2 linked regions of the Arabidopsis thaliana genome follow. The protein of the gene in region 1 interacts with the protein of each later gene in a pairwise test. Each region holds a gene or a part of one and is shown on either strand. Other genes may lie near its edges.

Region 1 (4,038 bases):
GCTTCTCGGTGACGATGGTGTACTCTCTGGTCTTACGCCCGGTGGAGTAACAGTGGACATGACTAGTAGCAAACCAGGATTGGCGCGTGAAATACACGCAGAAGCGAGGCGTAGGAATTGTTGGGCGGTGGATGCGCCGGTATCAGGTGGAGACGCTGGAGCACGAGAGGGGACGTTAGGGATTTTCGCCGGCGGAGATTCAGAGATTGTGGAGTGGTTGTCCCCGGTGATGAAGAATATAGGGACTGTTACTTATATGGGAGAAGCAGGGAGTGGGCAAAGCTGCAAGATAGGGAATCAGATTGCTGGTGCGAGCAACCTGGTTGGACTTGCTGAAGGGATAGTGTTCGCTGAGAAAGCGGGTTTAGATACAGTGAAATGGCTCGAGGCGGTGAAGGATGGTGCAGCTGGATCGGCGGTTATGCGGCTGTTTGGGGAGATGATTGTGAAGAGGGATTATAGGGCGACTGGCTTTGCGGAGTATATGGTGAAAGATTTGGGAATGGCTGCAGAGGCGGCGATGCCTGGTGCTGCTCTGAGCAAGCAGTTGTTCACTGGAATGGTGGCTAATGGAGATGGCAAGTTAGGTATTCAAGGCGTCGTCTCTGTTATTAGAAGACTTAACGGCATATCCTGAAAACACTTGTGTTGTAAAACAGAGTGTTCCAATGATTTCACGATCAACTAGGCAAACTTGTCTTCGATTTGGTTTAAGTTGATAATAAGAAGAACATCGAGTCTCACCAATCTCAATAAGAAACAAAGGGCATTTATGAATGGTAGAGTGCAGCATTTTGATAAGATTACAGATCGCTAACATTAGTTTCCAACTGGATCATAAATCTGTACCTTCTATATCTAATTCTATTAGCCAGTAACCGTAAACACACAAACTATCAAAAGAAAAAGATCATCTTACATTTTACGAGTCAACAAAATAATCTACCGAGTCTCTTCGACTGCAACGTTGGAGTAGCTATGCTCGAACCGTTCTTCCTCGGATCCTTTCTTCCATGTCTTATACAAGCTAATCCTGTGTTTTAACAAAATGATGTAAAACAATGAGAACAAGAATATGGGTCTGCCACGTCGGGTCGTTTCATATACATGAGGATGAAAATGTACCTCTCAGTTTGAACGGTTCTTTTCGCAAGCATGAGGGTAAGGAAGACAGGGACCATAGCGGCACACAGATGCTTCAGAGAATGCCCACTAATAATATGATGAGTCCAGCTATATATAGGCTTATCCGCAGCTTCTTCCACCTTGGCTAAGAGATAGAACCCTGCAATTCCAGACAATTGAATCTAGAATAAGAGCCAGAAAGTAACAACAAAGCTTCAAGAGCAAAGCAAACTAAATATGTATCAACACAACAATAAGCACTAACCTGCAGCCCATAGCCAATAAGTGGAATGTGTATACATTGGAGGCAATAAAATAGCCATCAACGGAATCACAATGCAAGGAACAAACTGAACCAAAGCATATGGCCTAAGGTCATCGAAAAACCTACAATCACAGCCTCATGTCAGCTTACTCTATCTCAACATTGTATCGCTAAAACCACTAGAGATAGTTTAAGGATTTGACTAACCTCCAATACAAAATGCTAACAAGACCAGCAAGAAGTAAAGGAGCAATGGAGTAAGTACCCTTATGCTCATCAATCCTCTCGATTACAAATATAGCCATGATTGATGTGAAAGCAATAGTCATCTAAACCAAAAAGCAATCGAAACCAGTGATCAAAAACAAAACAAAGCAAACAAAATCTCAGAGAAGAGAAGAGAAAGAATAAGAGCGTACGGGAAGACGATCCCAGAGGAGAGTAGCATCGTTTGGGTGAAGATGATAGTAAGAAGATCCAAAAGCAACAGCAGCTACACCGATGTAAAAGCAAGTCCATCCTATTTTCTCACCTCGCAAACTGTTTCAATACACAGAGACTTTAACTAATTTGAATCTGGATTTCACAAAGAAGAAGTATGTAATTACGCACCTAAAGCTAAAGTAATCTTCTGGGTAAAAGCAGAGGATAAGACCAATAAGGCCGATGATGAGGAAAGGGAAGTTGGAGATGACGTTTAAAAAATTTGGAATCCCTGAGAAAATGGATTTGTAAGATCAAAACCCTAAAAATTCAAAAGGGTATTTAAGAAGAAAATGATGATGATGAGAGAAGAGTGTGAATTTTATACCGAGGAAGGAGCGTTGATCGGCGAAATTGTGGTAAGCCTGAGATTGAGGGATTGTGGGAGTGACGATCATAAGTATTATGAAGATTAAAATCGCCGATCCCCACGCGGACATCGTTCGCTTCTTCATCGTCTTCTTCTTCTTCTACTTCAGAGAGAGATGAGATTCTCAGGTTTGACTCTTCTTCTTTTTTTTTTTTCTTTTTGGGGTCGATGTCAGTAAAGGCGTTAAGAAATTGGAAATGTTGAAATTACAACGACAAGGGCAAAACGGTAAATGCCATTGTGATAAGCTTTCAACTCTCTCCGTCATATTTGTTAAATTTAGTACAAGTTAAAACTCCGATTAGTACTAACACGCATAATGGTGGAATGCATTTCCGATTTCTAGTACGATAATGTAAGAATTTTATCAATTATGAAAATTTGTATGAATTCTTAATGCAAGATTTACGTTTTCGTCTTATAAAATACAAGTAAGAATTCATTAGACAAAGTTATTTCAAGTCCAATGCTCAACTTATTTATAGCAAAGGTAAGCCTTGCCAAACTCCATATTCTTTTGGAGCCGTGTTGTCATTTTTGATTTGGTTGTTGTGTCTTTCTCTTGGCTCCTGAAACAAAAGCCGGCTGATTCGGAAAGTTGAGGTTGTGGTCCATCAAAGAGTGGTCTCACCTTTAGACTGCAAGATCATAGTCTATCTGTTGTATATATTTTGCTTCCATGTTTTTAATTATTATTTTTTTTATGCCATGGGATCAAATCTTTAGGTTATACATTTCTTGTTAAACCTATATAAAGAAACTTTAGTCGGCATTCTAACAACTTGTTTTGGAAAACTTGAGTTTTAGCTTCGCAAAGAAATTTCTATTTGGATTACAAGTTATGGGCCTTTGGTAGATAATCCTCTCGGATCGGGTACTAGAGCATGTAAATCGTGATCTTGAGGCATACTAAGAAGAGGTTTACCATAGGGAGATAAACATAACTTCTACATCTATATATGATTTATGAGATTCCCAACACGAAACCAAACATGATCTAAGCAAGAAGAGGAATATTATAAGTTGCGATATGCATCATCAAAGATATTCTGTTGATTCTATACCTCACTATATATCATTTGCACTTTGTGTTGTCACGAAGCGAAGAAATGATGTTGTTCTTTAACACTGTGATGTAGTCATCACCTTCACATGGCTTCTCATCCATCTACACTTTCCCATATACATTTTGCAATTGTTAGTTCTCTCAAAAAAGAACATCCAATGTATATATGTAAATACTATCCAATGACTTTTTAGTGCCATACTATCGAATTGCTAAAAACTAATTTTGAATTTAGTTTAGTGTTTTTGGTCCATAGATCTAGGATCAGCCATTGATAATACATGCAAATATATGTAAATCATCCCTCTTTATACATAATGCTACACTCAAATCCAGGTTCATTGAGGTCGAAACAGTCTCTCTCCCACCAATAGAATCAATATATCTTAAGAACAAAAACCATTGGTTTATGAACTTAATGATAAACCATTAGTCCTATATCTTTTCTAAACGTTATATAATCTTAACATAATCTCAATGCTTAGCTAAAGTTAAAACACAATCCTCCCATGACTTGGACCCTAAACATGTATTGTTTGGAGAAGAAAAGTTACATCATTGTTCATATCCATGAAGACTAGCACATTGTCTCCATTCTATCAAAACATAAACTAAAGAGAAATGAAGAAGATAAGATGAGACACAGTACCTTGACATGGAAGTTGTAGCAAACCACCCTTTGCTCTCGGCAAACTTGAGAAGTAGAAGCACTTAAAACACTCAAACCTT
Region 2 (4,479 bases), on another chromosome or scaffold:
TGAAATTGCATAAAGAGAGAAGCTTTAAAACTAAGTGAAGGATATGGTTATAGTTAGTTAATCAAAGTTTGAACATTTTAAATTACCGTATGAACATCGAAAGACTTGATTTCGTTTCCACAAGAAGCATAGAGAATGTTCTCATTACCTGAAAAATCAAATAAAAGTTATCACCAAATTGCAACAAAGAGAAGAAATTGAAAGAGAGAGAAACAGACAAAACACAAAGAGACAAAACCTGTCTTGAAACAAAGAGATGAAACTGGTTCTGTTCCAACATCGATGATGAATTGAACATCTTTACATCGCAAATCAAACCAGCAAATGCAACCATCCTATAATCGTATGATCGGAAAACTATGAATCTTGCGAAGTAACTACAATAACGAAACCTAAATTCATCGGAAAAAAGAGGTTTGAATTAGAGATTAAGAAACCTCGCCGGAAGTGAGAACAATTCCAGGCCGGTCACGAGAAGCTATACAACAAGTGGCAGTTGATTTGTGGCCTCTCAGCTTCCTTGGCTCTTCCATTGCCGTAGCCATAACTGTGAGTGAGAGTTTCTCCGGCGATTGCTCAGTTTCAAGCTCTAAATTGAGCTAAAAAAGGCTAACCGAAACAAACCAAAACTAAACCGGATATTTTGGTAATCCTTCGGTTTTGTACCAAAAAAATCGAAACAACAAAATTCCAACCTAACAGAAATCGATTTTAGTACCACTTAACCAAAATGAACCGATACGGTGAAACGAAATCAAACCGAAAATTATGTTCAACCAAACTGAAATCATCAAAGGCAGAAACTATTTTTATCTTTTCTTTTCAACAATTCTATTGTTTGAGATAAATATAATTTAGGGTTCTGAAAATTTGACATAGCATTTTCAAACAATAACATTGATAGATCAGATAAATAACAGAAATACACCAAATGGGCATTACTCAACCTAAAAGCAATCTTCATATTCGATAGAACCGTTAACAAAAACCGATCCTTAGGTTGTTAACAATAATTCTACTCTCTGATTAGTTCGAGCAGCATCCACCTTTCTTCACAGCTGAAACATCTTTACCGATATCGATCTTGTCTCCTTTCGATGGAACATTAGCGGATTCGCTCGCAGCTTCCATCGCCTTCTTGCTCACAATGTGGTGAATCTGAGTGAGGACTTCGGCGAAAGCGTTCTCAACATTGGTGGCTTCGAGAGCCGAGGTTTCCATGAAGTAGAGAGATTCTTTCTCGGCGAATGACTTAGCATCTTCAGTCTGAACAGCCACGAGATGGCGAAGGTCAGATTTGTTGCCCACGAGCATGACTACAATGTTTGGATCAGTGTGGTTTCTGAGTTCTTTCAGCCAAGTCTCAACGTTTTCAAATGTTGAGTGTCGGGTTACATCGTAGACAAGAAGCGCTCCAACAGCTCCTCGGTAATACGCACTAGTGATGGCTCGGTACCTATTGAAACAAAGTCAACGAAACAGAGAATTAAGTTAACCGAAACATCAGGAACACAAAAAAGGCAAGAAGCTTTACAGTTTCGAATTCAGACTATGCACGCTTTACAAAACTGATCAGAGAAATGGAGAATAGCAAATCATACAAAGCAAGAAGCTTTTCAATTTTGAAATTAAGACCAAGTAAAAGCTTCAAATGAAAGTTTAAGAATCCAACTAAAACCAATCAAGCTCTCTTACATAAATAAACTAAGCAAAAACAACAGAAGAAATCGATAATGATTGAAGAATCTTAGGTGAAATCTGAGAAAGAAGAGCTAAGAATCGTAGAAATGAAGTTACTGAAACCAATCAAGCTCTCTCACATAAACCTAAAATAGCAAAAACAACAGAAGAAATTTGATAAAGCTGATAACTTTATAATCATAATCATAGGATTCTCCTATCTTACACAAAACCCAAGTTGTCAAAATCACATACTAATCCAGATCTCTTCTTATAAAAGTGATCAATACCAATGGATCTAAATCAATTGATACAGATCTAACCTAAGCTGAAAATTTACTGTCTTTGGCAACCAAACAAAACCATAAACCCCAAAACTTCAATCAAAATGTTCTAATATAAGAAACCAGATCGAGAAATGAACAATGTGGTTGAAAAAGATGAGACCTTTCTTGACCAGCAGTATCCCAAATCTGAGCTTTGATGACTTTATCATCAACATTCAAACTCCGAGTCGCGAACTCGACCCCGATCGTGGATTTTGACTCGAGACTAAACTCGTTCTTCGTGAATCGTGAAAGCAAATTGGATTTGCCCACACCTGAATCACCTATCAGAACAACCTTGAATAGGTAATCGTATTCATCATCTGCTCTGTAACCCGCCATTGATTCTCTCCTTCAAAGCTTTTAACTTTACTCCTTCAGATTCGAGAAAACAAAACAAAGAGAGAGATAAAAATGGGTCCTTCTTTTCAAAATGAAAAACCCAAATGAGATTTGAAACTTGTTGCTCTTTTTTCCTTAGATTTTGTTTTGAAAATTTTTTCGATTTCAACAGAGAAAGACGCGGAATTGGAAAATATCAAACGAGAAAGACAAAGGACTTGTGTACTGTCTTTATCACAAAGAAATCTAACATTTGTGTGGCCAAATTTACTAAACTGCCCTGTTAACGCGTTCTGATCTATTACCTTGCTCGCTTCGATAAAGACGAGGACGTATTCGTCAATTCACATTTGTCTTTATCTTTTATGTTTTTCTAAACTGATTAAAATGATAAAAAAGAATGCGTCTGCCGGGAGTCGAACCCGGGTCTATTGCTTGGAAGGCAATTATCCTAACCGTTGGACTACAGACGCTGACGATTAATTCAAACAGATATAATATACTAATCCAGAATAATATGACGTGGCAAGTAAAGTGACTATAAATAAAATCGGGGAGATCTGTTTTCACTTTCTTCTCTCTAACAAACTAAGGCCTTGAATGGTACTAGTTTTTAAAGTTGATTTTGGCTTTTGATTTTACAAAATCCACTTTTTCATCCATTCATGATTTTGTAAAAAGTTAATTTCCTAAATTATAGGGAATTCAAAATTTAAAAGATTCTAGTCATTTGTTCTTAAAATCCAAAATTCACTTTTTTGGGATTTTCAACAAATTCTATCGTAAACTCTTTTTTTTTTGTTTTTAAAAATAAAAATAAAGTTTTAAATAAATAATTTTAAAACGTTTCTAAATAATAATTATATAAAAATCAAAAACTAGAAAAGTTACCATTTAAGATTTTGCAAAATCTAAAATCTCCACCAAAATCAAAAACTCATAAAATCAAAAACAAAAAACCAAAAGCCACAATCCAAAATCCAAAAACCCACCAAAATCAACAAAACATTCATGGCCTAATTTGGCAGTCAAAACAGAATTTGACCTTGAAGACGACTCTTGCAGACTTCTCCGGCGATTCTCCCGCCGTGAAACTCTTATCGGCGGCTATCTTTCTCCGTTTCGTTCCCGACGGTCGAGTTTGTACTGGCATTTACTTTACTTGTTCGAAGCGACTTCCAATTTTCACCTAATCAAACGCGACTCTCAACGGTTCGAGAATGGGTTGTATCGGATCTTCTCAGGCCAGAAATGAAGGCGGAGGTTAGTGGAATCGATACTCTCTTAAACCTTTAATTCCGCACTCCGTTTGTCTCGCTGAATTTGTTCTCAGAATTTGGGCTACGATTTATACTTGTGTTGTAATGTTTTGATTCTTGGTGATAGTTCTAGTTTTGAGGTGTTAACATGAACTAATCTTGCAAATGTTATGATTCTTGGAGTGATTTCGAAGGAAATATCAGTTTATTGTGGTGTTGACATGTTTGTGATTCGTTAAAGATTCCAAATTTTGAAGCTCAGAATTAGTTCAGCAGAGAATTAGAATGCTCTTCAACATTGTTTCTACTGCTCAGAATTAGAATGTTGGATCAGAGAAAGTTGTTATCGATGGTATGATTGAAATGAAATGGCCGTTTACTAATGTTATAACATTCCATTTTTACCAAGAAAAATTGTTCTGTGAACAATAGACAATATAATCTGATTCGTTCTGCCTTATACTGTATTTGTTGTCTTGATGAAATTGAAACTGTGATGATCTTCTGAAGTAGATGGCTATAATATTGGTGTTACTGAAAGAACTGTTTTAAAATTGGTGGTAGTTTATATTGTATCATTCTCTTATGAGTTTTGTACGTTTGACACAGCAAAAAGGAAGAAAATCATGAAACCTAAACCGTGGGCACATACTGAGCCAATCACAAGGGCACAACTTACGAACATGCGTGAGGAATTTTGGGACACCTCTCCACACTATGGTGGTCAAAGAGGTATATATATATCTCTCTTTCTTGTAATCTGCTGCATCGCACTATGTACATTTGGAAACTGAGCGAAATTTACTGAAAACCAGAGATATGGGAAGCACTTCGAGCTGCTGCTGAAGCTGACTTGAAACTAGCACAAACTA

The links.
Region 2: the proteins of SAG18 (region 1) and RABA1c interact in a protein complementation assay, tested with the Arabidopsis thaliana proteins (one large-scale study listed by BioGRID).

What each region holds. Positions count from the first base shown.
Region 1 is NC_003070.9:26,832,655-26,836,692, forward strand, and holds SAG18 (senescence associated gene 18), read right to left. Parts: upstream 2,407-4,038; 5' UTR 2,329-2,406; coding exon 2,202-2,328; intron 2,106-2,201; coding exon 2,003-2,105; intron 1,931-2,002; coding exon 1,810-1,930; intron 1,720-1,809; coding exon 1,598-1,719; intron 1,513-1,597; coding exon 1,391-1,512; intron 1,286-1,390; coding exon 1,126-1,285; intron 1,056-1,125; exon of another isoform or gene 1,034-1,055; coding exon 943-1,033; 3' UTR 752-942; downstream 1-751. Other genes in the region: AT1G71180 (6-phosphogluconate dehydrogenase family protein), read left to right, coding at 1-637; AT1G71200 (basic helix-loop-helix (bHLH) DNA-binding superfamily protein), read right to left, coding at 3,319-3,411, 3,959-4,038.
Region 2 is NC_003076.8:18,557,187-18,561,665, reverse strand, and holds RABA1c (RAB GTPase homolog A1C), read right to left. Parts: upstream 2,607-4,479; 5' UTR 2,349-2,606; coding exon 2,128-2,348; intron 1,457-2,127; coding exon 1,027-1,456; 3' UTR 721-1,026; downstream 1-720. Other genes in the region: AT5G45760 (Transducin/WD40 repeat-like superfamily protein), read right to left, coding at 87-148, 239-335, 438-545; AT5G45740 (Ubiquitin domain-containing protein), read left to right, coding at 3,569-3,611, 4,217-4,339, 4,423-4,479. UniProt on the Arabidopsis thaliana protein: Intracellular vesicle trafficking and protein transport.